Linked DNA regions of Mus musculus. The protein of the gene in region 3 purifies or fractionates together with the protein of the main gene of each other region. This does not show direct contact. Links are inferred from orthologs where the notes say so. Each region holds a gene or a part of one and is shown on either strand. Other genes may lie near its edges.

Evidence for each region.
Region 1: the proteins of Ccdc97 (region 3) and Sf3b1 purify together in Homo sapiens (co-immunoprecipitation; 4 studies listed by BioGRID and IntAct, counting the BioPlex papers as one, with this or other methods). This does not show direct contact. The link is inferred for Mus musculus from reciprocal best matches to the Homo sapiens genes CCDC97 and SF3B1.
Region 2: the proteins of Ccdc97 (region 3) and Sf3b6 purify together in Homo sapiens (affinity purification with mass spectrometry; 3 studies listed by BioGRID and IntAct, counting the BioPlex papers as one, with this or other methods). This does not show direct contact. The link is inferred for Mus musculus from reciprocal best matches to the Homo sapiens genes CCDC97 and SF3B6.

What each region holds. Positions count from the first base shown.
Region 1 is NC_000067.6:55,006,947-55,010,592, reverse strand, and holds part of Sf3b1 (splicing factor 3B subunit 1), read left to right. Parts: intron 1-2,875; coding exon 2,876-3,113; intron 3,114-3,646. UniProt on the Homo sapiens protein: Component of the 17S U2 SnRNP complex of the spliceosome, a large ribonucleoprotein complex that removes introns from transcribed pre-mRNAs.
Region 2 is NC_000078.6:4,816,192-4,820,471, forward strand, and holds the start of Sf3b6 (splicing factor 3B subunit 6), read left to right. Parts: upstream 1-1,416; 5' UTR 1,417-1,598; coding exon 1,599-1,628; intron 1,629-4,280.
Region 3 is NC_000073.6:25,716,192-25,720,284, reverse strand, and holds the start of Ccdc97 (coiled-coil domain-containing protein 97), read left to right. Parts: upstream 1-1,249; 5' UTR 1,250-1,318; coding exon 1,319-1,367; exon of another isoform or gene 1,368-1,389; intron 1,390-2,005; exon of another isoform or gene 2,006-2,140; intron 2,141-3,285; exon of another isoform or gene 3,286-3,431; intron 3,432-4,093. UniProt on the Homo sapiens protein: May play a role pre-mRNA splicing through the association with the splicing factor SF3B complex which is involved in branch-site recognition.

The DNA.
Region 1 (3,646 bases), on a different chromosome or scaffold from region 3:
TTGTCAGATCCATTGGAATTGGAGTTAGAGGTTGTTGTGAGCTATTACTGTGAGTGAGTGGTAGGAACTGAACTCAGGTTCTATGCGAGAGCAGTTAAATGGTCTTAACTACTAAGCCTTCTAGGAAAGAATGTGTTTCTAGGAAAGTAATTAGGACTTAGACCTACCTTTCTTTTTTGCTCATTTATGGAAAAAATAGGATGCATGGCAGTAAGATTCATATTACCACCTTTTTTTTTTTTTTTTTTTTTTTTTGCATAGGAAGGGCAAATTAAGTTTGTGAATAATTCATTTTCATTCATTACTTACCTAATCCAGAGGTTTTTGTTGTTGTTACAGTTTTGAGACAGGGTTTCCCTGTGTAGCCTTGGTTATCCTGAAATTCCAGGCTATCCTTGAACTCAGAAATCCACATACCTCTATCCAGAATCATTTTTGTTTTCCCATCACGAATAAAAATCCTTATTAGCTGAGTGTGGTGAGAGTGAGGGAGGATTATGAGTTTCTGGGTTATCTTGTCTCAGGATGACTTACCCCACCTCCCCAAGCCCTGCCACCACCAAGACACTGGATATTCAGAGCTCTTTTACATTCTTGGATAAATTACTCAAATCCACTTCTAATCTTTCTTCCCTCTGAGCTTGCTGCAAAGCTTGATAGTGTGAGTTCCAGATACAAGATTCATGTGGTAGAGAGAGACAGTGCACTCCCATGGGTTAGTCTCTGATCTCCACGCTTGCTCAGTGACGTGTGTACTCAAACACAGGCATACAAATAAATAATCTTTTTTCTTTTTTTTCTTTTTTTTTTGTAGCTGGGATTAAAGGTGTGTGCTACCACGCCCGACTTTTTTTTTTCTTCATTAAGATTGGGTTTTACTACGTGGCTCTGGGTTGCCTGAAACTCAAGTCAACCAGATTGACTTTGAACTCACAGAGATGCACTTTTCTCTGGCTCATAACATATTTCTTTAAAGTATTTATTATAATACATGTGGATTCCTTCTTCCCCAGAGGTTCTAATGTCTCAGGGATCCAGTTTGGGGATGCACTAATTTCAGAGCTGAAAGTCTTGCATTGGAGTTGTAGATAGACAAAATTACATGAATTTTCTAAACTCAGAGTTTAAACTCAGTGTATATTTCAGGGTACCTTGTATCATCTGGAGATTATTACAGTAGCTTTGCTTTTAGTTTTCAATGAGCTTATTAAGTATATATCATATAAGAGTAAAAGAAAGCTACACAGCTTCCATTCCAAATGGCTGTTCTAACCATATAGAAGTTTAGTGAGCTTTGTAGACTTTTTAGGCCTGGTTATTCTGGTTATTTTGATTTATTTTTCTCAATTTACAATTTTTTTTATAATTTTTTTTTTAAAAGAGAAGTCAAAAAAAAAGAGAGGAGTTAAAGAACCATGGCAAATAATAGATTGATAGGTACAGCAGATAAATAAAACTTCATTGAATCAGGGTTTCATAGAATCAAGCACGGAGACCGCTGGAGTAGCCTGGTTAAGAGAACAAAGGTGGGGCTGTTAAGATGGCCAGTGGTTAAGAGCGCCGACTGCTCTTCCAAAGGTCCTGAGTTCAAATCCCAGCAACCATGTGGTAGCTCACAACCATCTGTAACGAAATCTGATGCTCTCTTCTGGAGTATCTGAAGACACACTACATTGTACATATAATAAACAAATAAAAAAGCCGGGCGTGGTGGCGCATGCCCTTAATCCCAGCACTCCGGAGGTAGAGGCAGGTGGATTTCTGATTCGAGGCCAGCCTGGTCTATAGAGTGAGTTCCAGGACAGCCAGGGAGGGCTATACAGAGAAACCCTGTCTCGAAAAACAGAGAGAGAGAGAGAGAGAGAGAGAGAGAGAGAAGAGGGGAGGGGAGGGGAGGGGAGGGGAGGGTCTTCTCATGGCGGAACTGCCTTCTCTTTCCTGCTGCAGCCAGATTTTTTTTTTTAAAGATTTATTTATTTATTTATTTATTTATTTATTTATTTATTTATTTATTTATTTATTATGTATACAGTGTTCTGCCTGCATGTATGCCTGCAGGCCAGAAGAGGGCATCAGCTCCCATTTCAGTTGGTTGTGAGCCACCATGTGGTTGCTGGGAGTTGAACTCAGGACCTCTGGAAGAACAGACAGTGCTCTTAACTTCTGAGCCATCTCTCCAGTCCTATAGCCAGACATTTTTATCATGGGGCAAATAATAGACGATTTAACTGTTTTCAAGAACAGTGTTTTATTTTTGGGCTCTTTTGCTATTCTTCTGTCTTCTTCCCTTGTAAAAGGGAGTCAGCCTGAGCCAGGATATGTGTTTTGGAAATAGTTTGAGACAAACATGCTTGGGTCTAAAATGGGGATTATTTCTCTTTCAGAGTTATCTTTTACAAGCTTAAGCAGCTCATGGCAAATTACCAACACATATATATTCACAAAGGTTTATAACCCAGAATGTTTTGTGTATCTTTAAAATTCTATTTATTTTAATTTGCATTTTTTTCATCTGCATTTATGTCTGTATTAGGGTATTGACTCTCATGGAATTGCAGTTACAGATAGTTGTAAGTCACTGTGTGGGTGCTAGGAATTGAACAGGGTCCTTTGGAAGAGCAGCCAGTGCTCTTAACTGTTGAGCCATCTCTAGCCTTGTGTTTTAATCTAGTGCTTTTTACATTGTTCAGTTCCAAATGAAAGCTGTAAATTTGTTTTCATCATAAGCATTTGCAAATCAGTAAGCAAAATGATATCTAACTTCCACTGAAAGATACATTTATTGTTTTGTTTTTTTTTTTGTGCAATAGAAAATTTGTAGTTATATCTCTAAGGTGTATAGGTATGTGAAACAAAATTCCTTTGCTTTGTACAGACCCCTGGGCATACCCCATCTTTAAGATGGGATGAGACACCGGGTCGTGCAAAAGGAAGTGAAACACCTGGCGCAACCCCAGGCTCAAAAATATGGGACCCTACACCGAGTCATACACCTGCGGGAGCTGCTACTCCTGGGCGAGGCGACACACCAGGCCATGCAACCCCGGGCCATGGTGGTGCAACTTCCAGTGCTCGTAAAAACAGATGGGATGAGACCCCCAAAACAGAAAGAGGTAGGTACTTTAGTGCAGTGTAGATGAGTGTGTGGATGAGGTGTTGACTCCAGCATTTTGTCTTCAGACTGAGGTCCTTATTTCCTAGTATAAATATAGATTTCTATAAATAACCAGCTGATGTGGATGTGCCTAAACCTACCAAGTTTATAAAACTTGTTTTTCTTGTACTGTTTGTCTCAGTACCCAAGCTGAAATCTGTTAGAACCTTTCTTAATAACCTTTCGACTTTGGACTGGTGACGTGGCTCAGAGGTAAAGGCTCTTGCCACCAACCAAACTGGAGGACCAGGGTATGATCCCTGGGACCCACATGGTAGAAGGAGACACCAGCTCCACAGGTAACCTCTAACCTCCACATGTGTATCATGGCATGTGCTCCCCAACATACACAGTAAAGAAAGGCAACACACTTCAACTTTGTTTAAATTAAAATTTAAAAAACTTAGGTAATATTGTACTCAATTAATTTCCCCTCTTTTGAAGAGGCTGAAGGTTTTAGGAAGAATCTTTTTTTTTTTTAAACTTAAAAAA
Region 2 (4,280 bases), on a different chromosome or scaffold from region 3:
GTTATCCTGGAACTCACTTTGTAGACCAGGCTGGCCTTGAACTCAGAAATCTGCCTGCCTCTGCCTCCAGAGTGCTGGGATTAAAGGCGTGCGCCACCACGCCCAGCCTTTAAAACTACTTTTTAAATGAGGTAGTCGGATCACTAGTTTGCTCGATCTAGGGATAATGAGGTGGGTGGTAAGTGAAAGAAAGTAGGATTGTCACCCAGAAAACTGCCTTTGTACAAACAGCTTGCTTTAGGGAGCCTATAAATAAGTCTGCTACCTTGTGTACCAATTGGTAACTGTGTTCAGATAATTAATTCTCTAAACCCTCCCACGTATTTCTATACTTCATATTTATATGTTTCTATCAGAATGAGCAAAAACATGGCCACAGTATTAAGTCTTCACATAGGCCCACGGCTTTGTTTTCAGGGTAGACCTCTTCTCAGTATACCAAAAAAGCCTATGTAAGCTTGGACCTTCGACAGGTTTATGTTCCTAAAATCCTCTGTAGCATCATAGAAGGAGCCAGCTTTGGGAGTATATCCCATCAGTTTCGCAGCGATAAGGCTTCAGCATTCCTTTTGTGTTAAGCTATGTAAGTCTGTCACTTGCACTAGTATTTTACTGCAGCCTTCAGTCTTACCTGGTACAGAATGAGGGTGCACATTTGAAAGCATGCTCTTTCCTGATGGGAAGTGAAAGGGTGTGCTGTTTTAGATACTCAAAACATTAGGGCTAGGCAGGATGGAGAATAACAGGGTTAAGGCCTTTCTTCAGGCTGATAATCTTTTCCTTAGTACAAACGCCGGTGAAAACCTCCACGGAGCAGATTCTGCCTTTCTCTGCAAACAGCCCCCAACGTCTGCTGCTGGTTCTTGATAGAGTCTACCCGGCAACTTATATTCAAGTGGCTAATATGTGGGGGCTAACAGGAGCGCGGGCAAAATCGTCTTGGAGCTGCCCTAGTGAAGGAGGACCTCCGAGCAAACTCGGAAGTGGCCTCTCTTCCCATGTCCTGTAAAGCTGGTCTAAGGAAATAAAAAGATGCATGTGACGGGTTGTGTGCTCTGTTTGCGTGGACAGGGGCCGCGGGAACCGGGTGAGGGAGTTCGACGGTCAGGTGAAGCGCGACCTGAGGCCCAGGGCCCCGGGATCGGCCTTCCGAGCAAAGTTCAGATTGGGACCTCTGTTGGAAGCGCTGGCGAGCCGGGTTCCTCTCCGAGACCTGGGCGCGCTAAATCGCAGGCTCTGGGTCTGATCTCTCTCATGGACCCCGCCCCTCGCTCCTTAAGCCACACCCCCTCAAGCGGAACACCTCCCTTCCCTTGGCATTCGCCCCGCCCCTTCCGGTCCGCAATCCGGAAGCGTTCTGGAGCTTGCTAGTTCGCTTTCCGGCTTGAGAATGCGTTCTCTGTAGTGTGACTTGGAGCATCTTTTCTAGGAAGTAAACGCGTCCTAATTTGAGACGCGGACTTTCCGGCATTGCTGTAAAAGCTTCCGGCGCTACCTGGCTGTAAATACTCTGTATCTGACGCCGTGTCGCCCACGAAGGCGATCAGGTTTAGAAATATCCAGAGGGATCTTACGGTAACCTACATCAGCCCGCCAAGATGGCGATGCAAGCGGCTAAGAGGGCGAATGTGAGTACCCCGCTTTCTGCGTGACAGGGAAGCGATGTTGTTGCTTGACTGTTGCTGCGTGCCTGGGGAGCGTTTTTTGTCCCTCCGCCCATAGTTGGGGAAGCTTGTTATCAGTTCTGTCAAAGGAGGTTCTGTCCTGGGCTCGTCCTCAGGGGTGTGTTCTTTGAGCGACTTTTCGCCCCACCCCTATTGAGAGCCCCCTGGCATCAGTGACCTCGTAACGCCTAGGACCAGGCGTTAGGCTCTTCTGAGTCCAAAAAGACATACGGAGTAACTATTTGGTTCCTTGCCAGCTGGAGCCTGGGATTTTTCTCGAATGTAGAACTTTGGGAATCCTCTATTAATATTATGTAAGCACCTGCTTTGTCTCTTGTCTTACAAACGGGAAGCAATTCATCAGTTGGGTTTATTCAACACTACTGTGTAAAGGACTAGTCGGGCTTATGTTCTACTGTTGTCAGTGAGTGTTACCAAAACCTTTAAGGAAAAAAAAAAACATCTTTCAGGAAATTAAGAAGTGGTTAAAACTTAGAATCACACCAAAACAAAGACACATAATTGACCATTGGATATCCTGATGAAGATTTTGGGCAACCGCGATTATGTGAATCATTTCAGTGAATGAAAACTTAGTTCCTGTAAAATAAAAAGATGGTAGGAGTTAGGACAAAACTGTAGAGCTGATTCTATGATTTTTCTTATTAATAGAGAAATTGAATTGTTTTAAAGATACCTACAGTGCTTTTTATAGACCAACGAGAGTGAGCCAACATAATGGTAGAGACCTGATATGTAAGATTCCAGAGTAAAACTGGAATGTGGCTCAGTGATTGCCTAGTGGGCGTGAGTCTGGATTTGACTCCCAGCACCTCAAACCATGACAACCAAAAATAAGTAAAGAGGGGAGTGGTTGGTACACCAATAGAAGAAAAAAATGGTTGGATGGACATAGATGGATAAAGTTTACAATAGGAATATATAGTTACCATTTGATCATATCTGTTTTCTTCAAGAAGTGTGGAGCCCCGGGTCATATCCTATGTTGGCTGAGAAGAGTATAGAGCCTTTTCAAATTTTACAGGGGATGATGATGGTGAAGTTTTAGGAGAGAAGAGAGAGACATACACAGTGTTTTACACAGTGAAAAAGCAGATTTACTGGAGAAATATATTTGTGTGGCAGTTGTTGATTATCAAACTTGACCTGGAAATCTTAAACTTTTATAGTCTGTCTAATTATCACCACTACTCATTTGAAGGTAGGGATAAGCGTTTTTACTTTCATGTTTGTTTATTATTGTATGTGCACATGTAGAGGCCAGACGACAATTTGTGGGAGTCGGTTCTCTCCATGTGGATTCCAGGGATTGACAGCTCACCAGGCTTGCTGGCGAGGGCCAGCTCACCAGCCTGAGGGCAAATATCTTATCCTTTCATTCATATAATGCTTAGCTTCATACCAAAAGCCGTGTTGGTTTAATAAGTGATTACTGAAAATGTTTTGTCTGAGCTGGGCATGGTGGTGGCGGCGCATGTCTTTTATCCCAGCACTCGGGAGGCAAAGGCAGGCGGATTTCTGAGTTCGAGGCCAGCCTGGTCTACAGAGTGAGTTCCAGAACAGCCAGGGCTACACAGAGACACCCTGCCTCATAAAACCAAAAAAAAAAAAAAAGAAAGAAAGAAAGAAAATGTTTTGTCTGGTATGTAATTGACTGTAGTAGCAAAGAGGGACGTGTGAGTCAGCTGTAGAGGAAGAAGGCTAAGAGTGAGGAGTGTACAGCAGGTTCAGACAGGCAACAGACCGGGCCACAGTATCAATGTCACAGATAGGAGGAACAACAAGAAGGGTGAGAGTGAAGAGTGTATAGCAGGTCAAGACAAGCCACAAACTGGGGCACAGTATCAATGTCACTGATAGGAGGAACAACAGCCAGGCCCCTAAAAGGCTGACAAGGGAACGCTGGAATGAAAAGATGTTAGTAAAGACACTTTCAAGTGGTAGCTCAGGTCTGGGTGTCCTATAAAGAAGATGAGTCAGTCAGGACAGACTTTCCTTTGCAGCCTGCATGACTGAAAACAGAAGCAAGATTTAAAAAAAGGTAGAGCTGGAAAGTGCAGGGAAGGTAGACACCTTGTCTTTCATTCAAGGCATCTCTCTTAGTACCTAGCTCACTGTGTACATTTAAAAGGCACTTAGTAGCTGGGCAGTGGTGGCGCACGCCTTTGATCCCAGCACTCAGGAGGCAGAGGCAGGTGGATGTCTGACTTCGAGGCCAGCCTGGTCTACAGAGTGAGTTCCAGGACAGCCAGGGCTACACAGAGAAACCCTGTCTCAAACCTCCCCCCGCCCCAAAAAAAAGGCCCTTAGTAACTGTTTGATGCATAAGTGAAGAGGAGCCCAGTACTTTGTTTTGTGTGGATTGGGAGGACCAGATCAGCTGCTCAACTGGGGACTAGAAACTGGTGAGAAGGGAAAGCCTGTAAGAACAAGAGAAGTCACTGATGCAGGCTCCTAAGCCATGAGAAGGCGTATGAGTGGGATTCACTGTCCTTTCTTCCCCACGAGACACTAAGGATGGATGTGTAAGTGAAGTGGGGATCCTTGTTAAGTAGAGCGGGGTTTTAGTTGCTCCTGACAGTCTTCCCTCTGCTG
Region 3 (4,093 bases):
GGGGGGAAGGGGAGGAGAGACACTTGTCAAGTTGCTCTAGGAGAAGGTAAGGAGGGGTCCTTGTCCCTAGCCTGGGAAATGCTGCTCTTGGCATATGTGTGTTGGGCAGCATCGCCCTCTGCTGGCCATTCCTGGTGATGCAGCTGGGTTTTTACCAGGCCATTCCCCAAATGTCGGGAATGCTTACCAAGTTCTAACTCTTCCAAACCTGTTTCAAGATTAATGCACCACCTTCCTCGTTGTGATCTCCAGTTCCTTTCCTTGGTTCCCTACCCCAAACCTTATGGGTTCCAAACACCTCATAGGGCTACGAAGCCCTTTATGATCTGACACTGACACGTGGCCTCCATTTTTTTTTTTGAGTCTGGGTTCTCTGGCTGCCCTGGAACTCGCTCTGTAGACCTGGCTGGCCTCGAACTCAGAAATCTGCCTGTCTCTGCCTCCCAAGTGCTAGGATTAAAGGTGTGCACCACCACTGCCCAGCTTCCAATAATCTTTTATTTTTTGCTTTCTTGAGAAAAACTTGCCATGTAACCCTGGCCGGCCTTATTCAAGACAAGATTTCGTCAAACCCTCAGTGATATCCCTGCCTCTGTCTCCTGAGTGCTGTATGCTCTGCATAGTAAACAGTTAACAGCACCCAGAAGTACCTTTGTCAGCAAAACTGCCTGAAGTACTTCCTAACTCCTGCCCATGCCTTTCAGGTCTCATCTGGGGGCTTTATCCCTGCCAGAAAGTCTCTGACCCTGCCTGTGGTGAGCAGGTCCTTCCCTTTTACACAGCGAATTCCTCATATCTGCAGGTTTCCTTCTTGTTTGGAAACACAAAGGTTCTCCCCCCAATTTAATCTCATGCCAGCCCTACAGGCTGGATGTGATGATAGAAGGAAGTCAAATCTACAGAGAGCACAAAGTTGGATGAGATGGTTCGGCGGTTAAAGATGCTTGCTGCCAACCTTGACTGAATTTTATCCACACTCCCATAAGTTGTCTTCTGACCGCATAAGTATTTTTAAGAGGACTCGAGGGTCTATGCGATAGGGCCAATACAACCACTCCAAATATTAACACACGAGGACCTCAAGTTAGAGTAGCGATCAAATGACACACGGTCCCCGCTGACTTTCCCATTTGATAGGTTTAAGATCCATCAGCGGGGCTACGCATGCGCATAAGAGAAGGCCCGCCTTTGACCCGGAACTTTGATGCTTGGGTGCCGCATAAAGACGCTTGCGTAACCGGAAGTACCTGCGGGTACCTAGGGTCCAGCCTGGCTTCCGGAGCCCGCTGTGGCGGTTACTGTGTTGAAGAGACCTGTTATGGAGGCGGTGGCAGCTGCAGAGGTGACGGAGAGGAAGCCGGATAATGGTGAGACGTTTGCCAGGCTCAGGTGACCGGAGGGTGCTCTTGCGGTGTGACCAGGAAATGGTTCCGGCAAGCGCTGAGGACTCTAGGAAGTCTGACCGCCGCTTACTGGCACTTTCAACACTTGGTCCACCTTGTGGGTCTGGTTATTCGGCCTTGTAGCAGGTTGACGTTTCCCTTCTTCTTTGAAATGAACCCCTTTCCATGTCCTAGGCTAACCCACTTTTTTTTTTACCATGCCAACGCTTCAAGCAAATAACAACTCTCCTGCAGATTCTTCCAGTCTCAGACCAACCTTTCTCAAGTTAACATCATTTCTGTGCCAACCTGAGTTTCTCCGTATCCCAAGCTAGCTCTCCTCTTGTCCCATGAAAGCTCACATCAAACCAACAGCCCCCATTGCATTCTAACCCTTCCTGACCCCAACGTCTGCCTCTTTAGGTCCTAAAGTTCTCATTCCGCCCCTTTAGGTCCTTTCTCCCTCGCACCTTCAATGCCTTTTACTTTGCTACTGACTTCCTACAAGTATTGGCTTGGGGGGGCGGGGGCGGGGGCTTTTGTTTTGTTTTGTTTTGGGGTTTTGTTCACAGCCTTTTATTATTGCCAAGGTCAGCCTCCAAATTGCTGTCCTCCAATCCCAGGTCCCAAGGTACTGAGTTTACAGCCCTGTGCCACCACGCCTGTCTTTAATGTTTCATAGTAGTCTGATGTGCGATGACAACTTGGAACTGGGAGTTACTGAAGCTGAATAGCAGATTATGAATGTAGAGGCAGAGGTGTGTTCTAGTGTGTGTTTCAATCTTTGATAATCTCCAATTGTGGTGATTTATATCTGTAACCCCAGCACTTGGGAGACTGAGGCAGGAGATTACCCTTAAGTTTGAAGACATCCTAAACTACATAGTGAGTTCCAGACTACAAAGTCAAACCCTGTACTATGAGGCCCTGCTTCAAAGTATATATATTAACATTTTCTGTAACAAAATTGTATGTATCTTTTAAACTTTCTGGTGCTGGGCCTCAAGCCTTACAAATGCCAATCACATTTGCTACCATGAAGCCATAAAAGAGAATCTGGGGCAAGATGTGGTGAAATGGGCCTATAGTCAGGAGCCTAGAAGGTTCAAAGCCAGGGATTAAGGCCGTAGCTTATTAGTGGGATGTTTGCATAGCATGCCTGAGGCCCTGGGTTCAATCCCCAGCACCATCTAAACTGTGTGTGGTAGAGCAGGCCTGTCCTCCTAGCACTGCCAAGACACTGCTCATAATTTTCTTACCCATCACCTACTACAGCGTGCTCTCCACCCTGAACTTGTTCCAGTCAGGTAGGATCCCCAGGGACGTCCATTCATGGCTATTCAATCTACTTGATTAGAGTTTTGTTGTTTTGTTACATTCTCATTGTTATTCATTCATTTGTTTGATTGTATATTTATTTATTTGAGGTGGGGTTTCACCCTGTAGCCTAGGCTGACCTAGAACTCACTATGTAGTCTAGCCTGGTCTAAAACTCATGAATCATTCTACCCCAGCCTCCTGAATGCTGGGGCTATTTGTGTGTGTGTGTGTGTGTGTGTGTGTGTGTGTGTGTGTGTGTATGCATACATACATACCTGCCCAGCATCCAGACTGTTTTCTTACTATACTGCTTCCAGCAGCCAGTGCCAGCCACCTGGCACAGTTGCCTTATGAGAGAAACAATATGCACTGCTTCCCTTCTGTTTCTCAGGCTGCTCTTTCTTAGCTCTTCCAACTGCTATACCAAAGACCAGAAACTGGGTGTTTGGTTTTTTGTTGTTGTTGTTTCCTTTTCGGTTTCTCGAGACAGGGTTTCTCTGTGTAGCCCTGACTGTCCTAGACTTGATTTATAGACCAGGCAGTACTCGAACTCACAGGTGTTCCCCTGCCTCTGCCTCCCAAGTGCTAGAATTTGTGAGCTGCCATGTGGATGCTGGGAATTGAATCTGGACTCTGGAAGAGCAGCAGCCTATGCTCTTAAACGCTGAGCCATCTCTCCAGCTACAAGATGTCACTTTCCTGGCAAGCCTGCTACCCTGCAGTTTAAAAGTGAGCCATCCTAACATTTGCTGCTTCTGTCTTTTTTAGGCTTTTCATTGGATACTTTATTTATCATCATCATCATTTTGTTATCATTGGTGTTTTGGATTTTGTTGTTTGTTTTTTGAGATTTTTATTTTGAAATTCAATATCACTGTGTAGGCCTGGCTGGCCTTGAACTCAGAGAGATCCACTTGCCTCTGCTTCCTCCACGCTGAAACTGAAGGTGTGTACCACCATACCAGGCTTGTCCGACTGTCTTTCTACCTAGCCAGGGAAGCACGTAATATATTCCATGGTTGTTTGTTTGTTTGTTTGTTGTTTTTTCGAGACAGGGTTTCTCTGTATAGGCCTGGCTGTCCTGGAACTCACTCTGTAGACCAGGCTGGCCTCGAACTCAGAAATCCACCTGCCTCTGCCTCCCGAGTGCTGGGATTAAAGGCATGAGCCACCATGCCTGGCATATTCCATGGTTTTGTTAATTAGTTAGACTATTGACTGTGCAGCATCACGGCCTGTTCACCATGGTCTCTCTGTCTAAGGCCTAGAACATTACCCAGAATGTAGCAGGTACTCAGTAAACGTGAGCTGTTTGAATGTGTCAGTTCCCAGCCTCCTCCTGCCTAAGCCCCCTTCCCCTGATGCCCTTAACTAAAGACTCCTCTTGACTC